Linked DNA regions of Cricetulus griseus. The protein of the gene in region 2 interacts with the protein of the main gene of each other region in a pairwise test. Links are inferred from orthologs where the notes say so. Each region holds a gene or a part of one and is shown on either strand. Other genes may lie near its edges.

Evidence for each region.
Region 1: the proteins of Fam114a1 (region 2) and Spg21 interact in binary tests that used the Homo sapiens proteins (3 or more experiments, as listed by UniProt). The two-hybrid records come from large-scale screens. The link is inferred for Cricetulus griseus from reciprocal best matches to the Homo sapiens genes FAM114A1 and SPG21.
Region 3: the proteins of Fam114a1 (region 2) and Rab2b interact in binary tests that used the Homo sapiens proteins (3 or more experiments, as listed by UniProt). The two-hybrid records come from large-scale screens. The link is inferred for Cricetulus griseus from reciprocal best matches to the Homo sapiens genes FAM114A1 and RAB2B.

Annotation. Positions count from the first base shown.
Region 1 is NC_048597.1:177,057,974-177,062,497, reverse strand, and holds the start of Spg21 (maspardin), read right to left. Parts: upstream 2,882-4,524; 5' UTR 2,663-2,881; intron 1-2,662. UniProt on the Homo sapiens protein: May play a role as a negative regulatory factor in CD4-dependent T-cell activation.
Region 2 is NW_023276807.1:132,022,684-132,026,486, reverse strand, and holds part of Fam114a1 (protein NOXP20), read right to left. Parts: intron 3,499-3,803; coding exon 3,385-3,498; intron 3,259-3,384; coding exon 3,149-3,258; intron 348-3,148; coding exon 213-347; intron 1-212. UniProt on the Homo sapiens protein: May play a role in neuronal cell development.
Region 3 is NW_023276807.1:207,374,945-207,379,216, forward strand, and holds the start of Rab2b (ras-related protein Rab-2B), read right to left. Parts: upstream 2,882-4,272; 5' UTR 2,667-2,881; coding exon 2,621-2,666; intron 2,400-2,620; coding exon 2,328-2,399; intron 1-2,327. Other genes in the region: Tox4 (TOX high mobility group box family member 4), read left to right, coding at 3,064-3,069, 3,257-3,325. UniProt on the Homo sapiens protein: The small GTPases Rab are key regulators of intracellular membrane trafficking, from the formation of transport vesicles to their fusion with membranes. Rabs cycle between active GTP-bound and inactive GDP-bound states.

The sequences.
Region 1 (4,524 bases), on a different chromosome or scaffold from region 2:
CCTCTTTCTACAGGGACACAACACTGGTCTGCTACCTTTGAGAATCACTACACTGAACTTCCAGGAGACAGTAAATGTAGACAGACCAATATTAAAACTCTAATTACAATGCTGATAGGATAGTGGTCTCTTATCTCAAAGCAAAGGAAATATTTTGAGAGGGTTGTTAAAATTGTAATTTTTTTTTTTTTGAGAAAGGATTTCACTGTGTATCCCCAACTGAGAACTCACTCTGTAGACCAGGCTGGCCTCTAACTCACAGAGAGCAGAGCCCCCCCGCCCCCGCTAAAACTGTAAATTGTTTTAAAACACAAAGTAAATTACCATCAATCTTATATTGAAACCATCGTGCACAGATTCAGTCATTAACACTAAAACAAAGAACACAATCCTTTGCAAAATCCATTTATCTTAAATATTAACAAGTTTAGTATCTAAGATGTTTAAACTATTTTTATATCATAACTTTAACAACTTTTAGAGATTCTTATTATTTGAATAGTTTCATGCAAAATGTAATATAGTCAATTTACCTCTTCTGTCTCCCTTAAGCTACTACTTTTTTTAAATGAAAGCAACTAGCAGTTAATTCTGAAATACTTTACACTAGGACACCAACTAAAGACATTTTCTAGAACAATTTCTGTAGGAGAGAATATCAAAAATATGTGAAACCACCAGATGATAGCGCACACCTTTAATCCCAGCACTCAGGAGGAAGACAGAACTCTGAGTTCAAGGTGTACATAGTGAGTTCCAAGCCAGCAAGGGCTACACAGTGATAGGTGAAACCTCATTTCAAAACAGACACACAAACAAAAACTTCAATCAATTTGTTAAAGTTTACTTCTAGAATCAACCCATTTACGGTAGAAATTATTCACAGTTTTAGAGTCAGGTGCAATTCACAAACCAAACCACAGCACAAACACGTAGGCAGGCACACAAGGACCCCGAGTCACCCACTTCTTTCCCATAGCAATGGGTAGAAGGTAGTCCTTACCAAAAGCCTTCCGTATAATTCACAACTACCTCAGTATTGCAACAGGACACGTTATAACTAATCTTGATGGGTAAGAGATTTTGCCCAGCTGTGAGTACACGTTTGTAAAGACAAGTGAGCCTAACACTTGTGCTAGTTCGGCAGTAATGAAAGGCGAGACAGTTACCAAATGTTGCATGTGACCAGCTGACGGCTATGAAGAAGAAGAAGAAGAAGAAAAAAAAAGCTGCAAAGGGAAAGCAGCTGTAGCAGTATGAAAAGGAAAGTTTGTTCTAGCTCTCTTTCATCCACTTAGGTCGGATGCTTTTCCAAGTCACAAAAGAAACATTGTGTCTATGGCCCAGAAAGTTAGCTGAGATTGTGACCAAACTGGTCAGGATGAAAAAAGAATGTGAGCGGTGAGCTCAGCACAGATGCGATTTCTCATGATTCAGTTCTTTACAAAAACAAAAGCACTTGTTCAGGCTGGTGAGGAAAGGGCCAGAGATAAGCTTTAATCATGATTAAGGAAACCCCTCCTCCGGGATGCTGAGGACACCTGGTCCTTTCTGGACTTTGTGTTGCTGGATGTGAGCATGCACGTGGAGTCTCAGCAGAACCTGCACTTTACAGCTGAGGAAATCAGCTTTACAAATGTTAACTCACATGGTCACATATGGCTGGTCCTTTATCTCAATCTATAGTGGACTTACATAGGGATAATCTGTGATTATTACAGCCAATAAAAAAAGCATTAGACCTTGAAAGCCTCTAGGTGACACAACTATGATTATCGGTACCAGGAACTGAACCTATGGCCTCGGGAATGCTAAGCATGAGCTTCTGCCACTAAACTACACCCAAAGAACCACAGTTGGCTATTTACTGCAGATCTTCACCCCACCCCCAGCACACCCATATGTATTAAATAGCTATCTTTCGGGGGCGATTTCTTCAGGGAAAATTCATCCCTCTTTCTCCAGGAACCTATCCACTTGTCTCTAAATGCCATGACAGGAGATGCTGCCTGCATGACATCTTCTGACACCTCTTCTCAAGATCCTGTTGTAAATGCCTTTTGAAAAATTCAGACAGTATTAGAGGACTTCCCAATCCTTAGAATCCTTGCACGAAGAGTAGCTGGACAATTGCAGATAGAGACAAAGCAACTGCATCAGCACCTAACAACTAACTTCCTGGGAAAAGAAAAACGAGACACTCGCTAGCCCTGCAATGTTTCTCATGACTCTCTAACAAGCCTCATGCCCGGTCTAAGGCAGGATCTCCAGAACTGGCCTCTACTCGCAGTCCTTAAAAGTTTACTGAAACCAAATGCTTCTGAGCTTCTGCCGCACAGCCCCAAGTTGGGTGGTACAAGAAGATGAAGATGTCCGGTTAAGGTTTTGGGCACCAACCCCCATTGGGGCCTCCCTGAGTCCCACTAGTTATAGCCATAGCCACACAATAGTGGACCCACAGGCACACCGACCATCCGCAATGAACCGAGGCTGGGCCTTAGACACAGACACAAACACACACGGATATGGATCACGTGCATGGTCACAAGGACCGGCCCACCCGTGGACGACACTCACTAGTCACGCATGCTCGATACACACCCACCTACAACCCTACACGCACCACACACCCTCACTCCGCTTTCCAAGGCCTGCCCCTCACCTGCCGTGGCCACCCCCGCGTCCCTTTCTCTCCAGCCCAAACGGCTCTTCGGCCCGGTTCGGGCGCTGCGGAGGCAGGCGGCAGGGCGCGGGTGGGCCGGGCGGCTGCAGAGCAGAGGCTCCGCGGGCGCAGCAGGTAGAGGGGGCGCGCGGCTGAGCAGCCAGAGGCCGCCGCCTCCCAGGTCTGAATCCCGTAGCTCCCTGGGGCGCGCCTCCCGCTTCCGGGTTCTGAGGGGCGGGGCCGGACAGCGAGGAAGGGGCGGGGCTCTGGCGGTAACTATGACAACGAGGCTGGCGTGGAGCCCCGGATGGGAGCTTCTGTGCTCGCCCGAGCGCAAATGTATTGGAGCAATGCAGAAGCTGGCGCCAGTGCTGGCGTTGGGTCAGGGTCCGTCCTAGGTCACCTGTCTGACATAAGCACCAGGAGAAAGCTATGGCAGTGAAGTCTGTGCTTCTGCCTTCAGTTTTCGGGTGGCTCGTGCTTCGGGGGAGACATCTTTGGGTTCTAGCTTTGGTGAATAGAGCTTGATGTATTTGGTTGGTTGGTTTGGTTTACTTTTTGGTTTTGGTTTTTCGAAGCAGGGTTTCTCTGTGTAGCCCTGGCTGTCCTAGAACTCGCTTTGTAGACCAGGCTGGCCTTGAACACACAGAGATCGTCCTGCCTCTGCGCACTTCCCGCCTTGTGCATGCGCTACCACCGCCCGGCTATATATTCTTTTTTAATTAGCATAAGTTAATTAAATCACAATAACGGCTTCATTAGGACATTTTCATATCTACATAAAGTATTCTGGTCATCACCCTGTTAGTCTTTATCTTCCTCTCATGCTCCCATCTCCTCCCTCTTCTTAACTACATACTTTTTCTCAACAGAACTAGTTTTCTCTGTACAGTTACAGAGATCCTCCTCAGACCTCCTGTCCAAACTGTCTCCTTTTGCGGCTTTGTGCTGATGTTGAGGGGAACATACTCAACACTAGGCTTGCCCTCAGACACAGGTCCTCTTCTGTAAGGCTCACTCTAATCACTGTTCTTACAAAAGAGGGTGCAGATGTTATGACTCCTTTCAGTAAGTAGTTTTGCTCTGAAATAATGTATGATCATATTGAATTATCTGTAAATCTTGTTTGAAAAATTTTAAGAATCTTATAGCAAGATCTTAGTGTTTTAAGGAGAACTTAAAAATATATCTTTTTAAAAAAATTTTATTTATATAGCTTCACATGTCAATCCCTTCTCCCTCTCCCTCCCTCCCCAACCTCCCACCAGCCCCCCCTCCCCCCTCCACTCCCCAGGGAGGGTAGGGCTCTCCATGAGTGCTCCCCAAAGTCCACCACATCATCCTGGGCGGGATCTAGGCCCTTCCCTATGTGTCCAGGCCGAGACAGAGCATCCCTTCACGTGGGATGGGCTCTCAAAGTCCCTTCTTACACCAGAGAAAAATACTGATCCACTACCAGGGGCCCCATAGAGTGCCTAGGCCTCCTCATTAACATTCACGTTCAGGGGTCTGGATCAGTCCTGTACTGTCCTCCCAGACAGCATCTGGGGTCCATGTGCTCCCCCTTGTTCAGGCCAGCTGTTTCTGAGGGATTCACCAGCCTGGTACCGACCCCTTTGATCTTCACTCCTCCCTCTCTGCAACTGGGTTCCAGAGATCAGTTCAGTGTATAGCTGTGGGTGTCTGTCTCTGCTTCCATCAGCCACTGGATGAGGGCTCTAGGATGGCATAGAAAGTAGTCATCAGTCTCATAGGGGAAGGGCATTTAGAGTAGCCTCTCCACCATTGCCTAGATTGTCAGTTTGTGTCATCCTTGGAGATCTCTGGAAATCTCCCAGTGCCAGATCTCTCCTCGGACCTAC
Region 2 (3,803 bases):
AATGCATGCATATTCTTATACCCAAATGCTTATTTATCACTATGTCTGTAAGATAACCAACAGCGTGCATAAGGGACCATTAACAGTGCTTGCCTCCCACGAGATTTTCAGTGGACCGTGTCAGAAAGTTAGCTTTCTTCCTACTTTTTGTGCCACTTGCTTTGACTTTATTGGCTGAAAGGAGAAAAATCAATGAAGGATTCTAGTCCAACCTGGGACAAGGAAACGGTTCTCTCCATCAGTGTCTTTGTCCGCTTAAACCCTGGGTCACTTTCTGCGAGGACATTCATGGTTTTCTTTCCAATGAATTCCAGAGCATCCAGACCTCCGCTTAAGACACTTTTGCCCTGCAAATGAGAAAAACACATGCAATTAGATTTTTCTACAGCCTGCTGTTTTGCACTGGCCCGCAGTTCCCATGTACCCGGCACTCTCTTCAAATATTAAAATCAATAGAAAGCCACAAGTTTTTCACACCATGACATTGATCATCTATTTAAATCCTGTTTGCTTTTTCTTGAAAAACTGTACATTGTATAATTTGTAGGACATGAGGTGTTATTAAAAATGATGCACATTCGGGATTCATGTCAGTGGCTCTGAGCATATCAAGAGATATGAATCTAAGACATAAAATTAATGGATGACCCAATTGCCATGTTCGTTTGAAAGAATTTTAGCATAAGTAACAGAATTATTTGGGGTGGGTTATTAAAATGTCAAATACTCAGGCTTATTTAGATGATTTTTAATGCAGGGCCCTGAAGCAGCAGACCCTCAGGCTGTTTCAGATGGCTCTTTCGTACTTTCAGAAACTGAAGAACACCAAATATAATTAGTACATTAATGAAGTAAGACAGCTTGCTCTCCATGTACTTCTAGCTGTAGAAACTATTCTATTAGCCAGGTATCAATCAGGAAAAATCCCTTTGCCAGCCATTGTTTTCCTTTTAACGGAAATTGAAACAACAGAGACCCATGCACACTGCTCAAATGAACAGACCTGCCTTGCTTTGAAGACCCTAGACAGAATCCCAACAATACAACTCTAACTACAATCTGCAAACAACTGTATTTTTTCTCACCTTACATGAAAATGTCATCTCTATGTGTTTTCAATCTTCATAATTACTTAAATGGCAGTTTTCAGCCTTGCTGAATGGATATACTTTATCAGACATTTCCACTTTCGGCATTTGGAATTTGTTTTCAAATCTGGCACCAAATCAATACTCATGCTACGGAACAGACTTGTAAAAGCAGACACTTTGAAGGATTCTATGGCTTCAATATAAAGTGTTCCTCAGCTACTAGTGTTATTTTAGGAAGTTCTAGAAACTTAAGGAGGTGGAGGCCAGTTGGAGGACGTGGGCCACTGGGGCGTGTACCTTAAATTTTATATCTGGTTCTCAGTCCCTCCTCTTTCTCTGCACCCGGGCTGCCAGAGGCAAAGAGCCCCCTGCTTACGTAATCCCACCACCATGACATTCAAGCACACGAAGCCAAACAACCATGGCTTAAAGCCTCTCAAACCATGAGCAAAACAAACCTTCTTCCCTGAGTTATTTCCCTGTGTTATTGTCCCAGCAATGATAAAAGCAAAGCATACAAAGGATGATGGGATTCTCAGCAGCTATACTTTTGCAAACTTCAATTTACAGGTCCCCAATATCCTGCCACTTCCATAGAGAATAAAGTGAGAACAGGAAGTATCTGTTCACTGTTGGACAAGGGCAAGCCTGCAGATGGGGTGGGACTGTGGGAAGGAAGCCAAGCAGGTTCAGAACACAGAAAGGGAGCTGGGGATGTGGATGGTGCTTTCAGGAGTGGATTGCTCAGGGCTGGCAAGATAGTTCCATGGAAACAGGCAATTACTGCATGAACCTGATGACCTGAGTTCCATCCCCGGAACCCACATAAAGAGGAAGGAGAGAACTGACTCCACAGAGTTGTCCTCTCATGTTCATATGAGCACCATGGTAAGGTGCCCCTCCCCCATCATATGCACACACAATAATGCAAAAATTTTTAATTAAAAAAAGGGAGGTGACAAGCTATGAATTCATTTTTTACTCCAGAGTTACTGAGTGAGCTTCCTCCACTCCCATGGGTGCCTTTGAACTGCTTTGCTGTGTGACTACTAAAACATCTTGGTATGCCTCTTCTTCCTGCCCAGTCTAGGGGCCTTCAAGGAGCAAGTACAGGACAGTCATTTTCTTTATTCCTGCCATACTTTCACCCCAATGTATGGGTCAGATCACTTACCCTGTTCATCTACAATCCCTTCTCTCCCATGGTGCACTGCACTCCATTGTTGAATTGACTTAATATGGAAAATCTGGCCAGAGTCTGGTGAGGTTCCTGTTACACAGTGAGGACAATTGTCTCTCTTCAAAATCACAACTGATTAAATGACTAAAAAGGGACATGAGCCATATTTCGAGAAAATCTAGTTAGTTTGTTCTAGAGAGTAGACTGAATCTTTTCTTCTTGGCTCTGAGGACCAGCTAGCTCCCTCATCTCACTTGGGGTACCTCCGTTTCCTTTTAACACTCATCACTGTTTTGTTGTCAATAGGATAACAAGCTTCCTTTGAGTGAGATGGTTATGCATCTGTCTTTAAAACAATCCACTTAACATAAATGAAAATGAATAAAAAGGAAGGGTAGGACTTGCAGGGATACATTTAGGGCTCTGCAAGGAAGGGCACAGAAGGCATTGCAGCCATATGGCAGGGTAGGTCTCTGGACTATTCCTCTTGTCAGTGACATACTTTGTTTGTAGACAGTTTCATATTTTTAAGAACATTGAGATAGGATCCAGGAAGAAGAGCTGTCCTGGCTCTGAGTTCCTCCCCCACCCAGAGGTTGTCCTTGCAGCGGCTGAAAAGGACACTGTTAAATCAGATTGAAAAAAAAAAAATAATGTCCCTTCTAAACCATGCTTTTCTATTAAACACAAGCCACATTTCATCTTGCCCTTATTATTTCAGAACCAAGGTCACACCTACTCTGTAGCAAAAAGCATAACAAACCGTAATCCAAAGTTATGAGCAAGGCTGCCTTTTCTCTGATGTATCTGGGTCACGAGATGGAGAGATCAAAAGAAGTGAGCCACCAGGGGAAACATGAAGCAGCTAGGGACTCACCGTGTTTTGAACCACGTTGGTGAGGGCTGACAGCATGCCCCTCGACCCTGCCGCCCCTGGCGGAGGAGAAGTGTGGGGGCCCCCGGCAGGGTCCTGATCTGGAGTCACATCTGTCATGGTAAGAGAGAACACCCCTGTTAGAATGTGGTTTGCTGATCTGAATGTGGGCTCTTTCCCACCGTGTAATTGTGCACATAGTGTAATAAAACTGAACACGAGGTGAACATGCCACTCACTTTCAGAAAATCCATTTTCGGCATCAGTTGGTACCCCTTCAGGAGATCCAGAATTGACACTGTGGATTCGCAGGGTTGCCCCGGCCTTTTCCTTGACTGCAGTTAACCCATGACCTGTAGGTAAATAAATATATAGTTAACAGATACATTATAAGCCCACACAATCTGTAACCCCTGGGCTGATCACACAAAACATGGCCTTGTGGGCGTCCACCCTGAATAAAACAAAATGCTCAACAGCAGGGCATTTACATCCCCTAGGGTAGGGCCCAAAGATGAACTCAACTTGGTCAAGGCTGAGTGACCTGAAAGAAGCCACCTTCCTTTTGTGACTCAGTTTCCTTCCTATGTTTCCAGACCCTCTGCCTTTCACACTGGCTGTTTGCACACTGAGATTCTAAACTCAAGCCAGCATCTTT
Region 3 (4,272 bases), about 75 Mb from region 2:
CTGGGCTTTGGTGGCACACGCCTTTAATTCCAGCACCTGGGAGTCAGAGGCAGGCGAATCTCTGTGAGTTCCAGGCTAGCCTGGTCTACAGAGTGAGTGCCAGGACAGCCTCCAAAGCAATACAGAGAAACCCTGCTGGAAAAAACAAAAAGTACTTCCTTTATTTTTAAGATTTATTTATTATATGCAGTGTTCTGCCTGCATGTATGTCTGTGCACCAGATCTCATTATGGATGCTTGTGAGCCACCATGTGGTTCCTGGGAATTGAACTCAGGATGTCTAGAAGAGCAGACAGTGCTCTTAACCTCTTTGCCATCTCTCCAGCCCAGTATTTCCTTCTTTCTTTTTTAGGCTTTTAAAGTTTTATGCATGTAAGTGTCTGCCTGCATGTAAGTATGTGTGCTACATGTGTGCCTGTTACACCTCCATGTGGAGGTCAGAAGAGGACAACAGATCCTTCTGCAACTGGAGTGACAGAGATTATGAGCTGCCATTCAGGTGCTGGCAATTGAACCTGGCAAGAGCAGCCAGTGCCCTTAGCCAGGGCTAAGTCATCTCTCCAGCCCCCTTGAAAGACTTTCTTGGCAGTGTCTCAGAATACCCACTAGTTCTATGTATGAAGCAGGACTTCTTTACTATAATTCTGAAATTATTTTCATTTGCAATTAAGAAAGTTGCCGGAGGCAGGCGGATCTGTGAGTTCAAGGCCAGTCTGGTCTACAGAGCAAGTTCTGGGACCACAAGGCTGTCTTGAAAAGCCACAGAAAGAAAGAAGGAAAGAAAGAAAGGAAGGAAGGAAGGAAGGATTATTAACCAGAAATAGCCTATCTCAAAGCAGTTTGGAAACTGGCAAACTGATAAGGCTTTTGACATTCTTCTATTTCAAGGTAAAATTCACCTCAATATTTCAAAAACAGTCCTGTTAAAAACATTGCATCATAAGTCAGACAATTCCTCCCCTTTTCTATTTTCATACAGTATTTTGCACATAGCACAAGGAATTCAGATTTTCAAGATTACTAATCTAGTTTACCTTCAGGAATGCTATAATACCAATTCAGTCATCCTATGTAGATATCCTTTCCCTATATAGAATATTTCTACTTTAAGGTGCTATAATCTATAAGAAAGATATAGAAATCGCTTCTGGCTATTACCTCAATAAAAATCAAAAGTTACTTTTTGAAAAAACATCAGTCAATTTTTCTTTCTTTCAGAAAAGTTAAGAATGTAATTTCGGGGGCTGGAGAGATGTCTCAGAAGTTAGGAGCACTGGCTCTTCCAGAGGACCTGGATTCAATTCCCAGCACCCATATGGCAGCTCCCAACTGTCTGTGACTACAGTTCCAAGGAATCTAGCACCCTCAAACAGAAGGTAAAACACCAATTCATATAAAATAGAAATAAATTATTTTTAAAAAGAATGTAATTTTAATGAGTAAGAAACTAAAACACTGGGGCTGGAGAGGTGGCTCCAAAGTTAAGAGCACTTCACTGCTCTTCCCGATGCCCTGAGTTCAATTCCCAGCACCCTCTTCTGGTGTGCATGAAGACAGAGCACTCATATTCATAAAACACACACACAAATAAATAAATAAACTAAAACAACAACAAAAACCAAACAAACAAAACAGGCTGAGCACATCTAATCCCAGCATTTATGAGATGGAGGCAGTAAGATCAAGGCCTGTTCAAGGTCATCTTCAGATTACTCATGGAGTACAAAGCCAGTCTTCAAAAAACAAAAACAAAAACTTATTAAGCCTGTGATGGTGCATGCCCCTAATCACAGCACTTGGAGGCTGAGGCAGAAGGATATCTGGGAATTCATGGCCAGTGTGGAATACAGAGTGAATCTGAGGCTAGCCTGGACTACATAGCCAGAACTTGTCTCAAAAAAGAGGAGGAAGGACTGAGATGACTCTTAAATTGGCTTTATCCTCTCCAACACAAAAAGAATCGATGTCGGAGTTTACTTCGAAAAACATGTGAGGTTGGTAGTTAACCACAAACTACAGATGAGTTTCTGAATAAGCAGTTGTGTTTTCGTGGGATTTTTTTTTTTTTTTTGCAGAAACATACAAGTTGCATTTAAAGAAAAATTCCTATGACAACTAGTGTTTATCTCACATCCCTCTCTAACGTTACCTTTCCATTATTTACCCTCTATTTACCGGCTTCTATCATTTTTCATATGGCACGGCTTAGGTCTAAGGCGGGGAGGCGCAACTTTTTCCTTAGAATACTGAGACTGTTAACTTTCTCCTTCAGCAGTTCAGCCAGCCAGCTTTTATCTATCTGTTCTGGAACGAGGGGATACGCTTACCTATTGTGAGGTCGTGCACAGGCTGGAACCGCTTATCGGTGAACTGCAGGAGGAGACATGACTTCCCCACACCTGAAAACAGACAGTGCGGAGTAGGCACGCCACCCGGGAAACCGCGGGCTCCCAGGCGGGGCACAGGGTCTAAGGAAAAGACAGAGCCCCGCCCCCGGAGTTCGCCCCGCCCCCTCCGCGCCACTCCGCTCGCCCGGCCCACTCGTCCCGCCCCGCCCCCAGGCCGATTTTGGAGGTGGGATCCCCGCCCAAGCCCCGAAGGCGGTCCACCTGCGGGTTACCTGTGTCTCCGATGATGATGTACTTGAAGAGATAAGCGTAAGTCATGGTCCCGAGGCGTCTGTGTTCCGGTCCGCCTGATTTCTACAGCCACTTACCTCCGTCCTCTCTAGCCACTCACTCTACCGATCTCCTTATTTGCCTCCGCTCCAGCCCTTCTAGCTCAGGCCGCGTCTCTATTGCTCTCCCCAGAAATCCTCCCTGGATCCGGAGTACCCGACGCCGCCTCTAGGGCCGCCCCGCGCTCTTCTACATGCCATTATCCCACCAAGCTCCAGGGGGCGACAGCGAGCCTTCGGGCAGCTCGAATCGCGACTGGTTCGGCCAGGACTCCGTCCAATCAGCGGAGAGCGACGCTCCTCTTTGAGGAAGTGACGCGTTCGGAACCCAGTGGGTCCGGTGGGAGCGATGCGGACACTGGGACGCTGGTAGTGGTGCTGTGAAGATGGAGGTACGCGCGGGGGGTCTGGAGGGTTGACGAGCAGCGCGGCCGACTAGATGGAAGCAGAAGCGGGAAGCCGGACAGCGGGGAGCGAGGGGTGCTCGGGAGGGCTGGGAGGCCCGGGGTCCCCGCGCGCCCCTGCTTCGCTCACTTATCCCCGTGGCTTTTTATTTATTTATTTGTTTTTGGTTTACAGTTTCCCGGAGGAAATGACAATTACCTGACCATCACTGGGCCCTCGCATCCTTTCCTGTCAGGGGCCGAGGTGAGCAAAAGCTGCCGACGCTGGGGCGCGGGAGGGCCTAGGCAGCGGTTGGGGCCGGACGGTGGGGGAGAGCGCGGGGGCGGACGGGAGCTGGGGAGGACAGTGGCCGAGGCTTCGAGAGCCTCTGAGGACTCTGAGCGGTGCGGTGGGGGGACGAACGGGAAGCGTCTGTCATCAGAAAACCAGGATGTTGAAGAGCTTCACTGCCTGTTTAAGGAAGGAGTCCGGTTCTGAATGTGGAGAACGAGTGGGATTGTCTGCCCTGGTTCGGGTGAAGTAGTTGCAACAATCTTGGGAAGATAGCAAGGAAGAAATTTGTTTTTTTTTTTTTTTCAGTAAAGAAAACCTGATAAGAAAGTAGTTTATGTAGCAGGGGTTAACCTCGGACAGGTGTTAATTCTTGAACTCTGTAAGTGGTCTTTTAAACTTGAAATTTCTGATAAAAGTGGCTACTTTCACCAACGTGGTTTCTGCTCGCTTTGCTAATGAAGGATAGAAGGAAAGAAATAGCCGCCAGAGAACATAAAAAGAGTAGAGTATACCTTGTTTGCCAGTGAGTACAAACTTTGAGCAGATAACTTCACTTTTGGATCACAGTTGTCAAGTTAACTATAATAATAGGGTTTGTTTTGTTTTGCCTTTTTTTTTTTTCCTCCAAGCCAGGGTTTCCCTGTGTAGATTTGGTGCCAGTCCTAACACTCCCTCTGTAGACCAGGCAGGTCTTGAACTCTCAGAGATCCGCTTGCTTGTTTTGCTTTTTAAAGATGGTGTGAAGTAGAAATAATGATTGATGGAGACTGTAAGACAGCAATTCACAACCGGTGAGTCAGGACCCTTGGGGAGTCGAGTGACCCCTTCACAGGAGTTGCATGCCAGATATTTACATTGTGATTCATAACAGTTGCAAAATTACAGTGTGAAGTAGCAACAATATAATTTTATAGTTG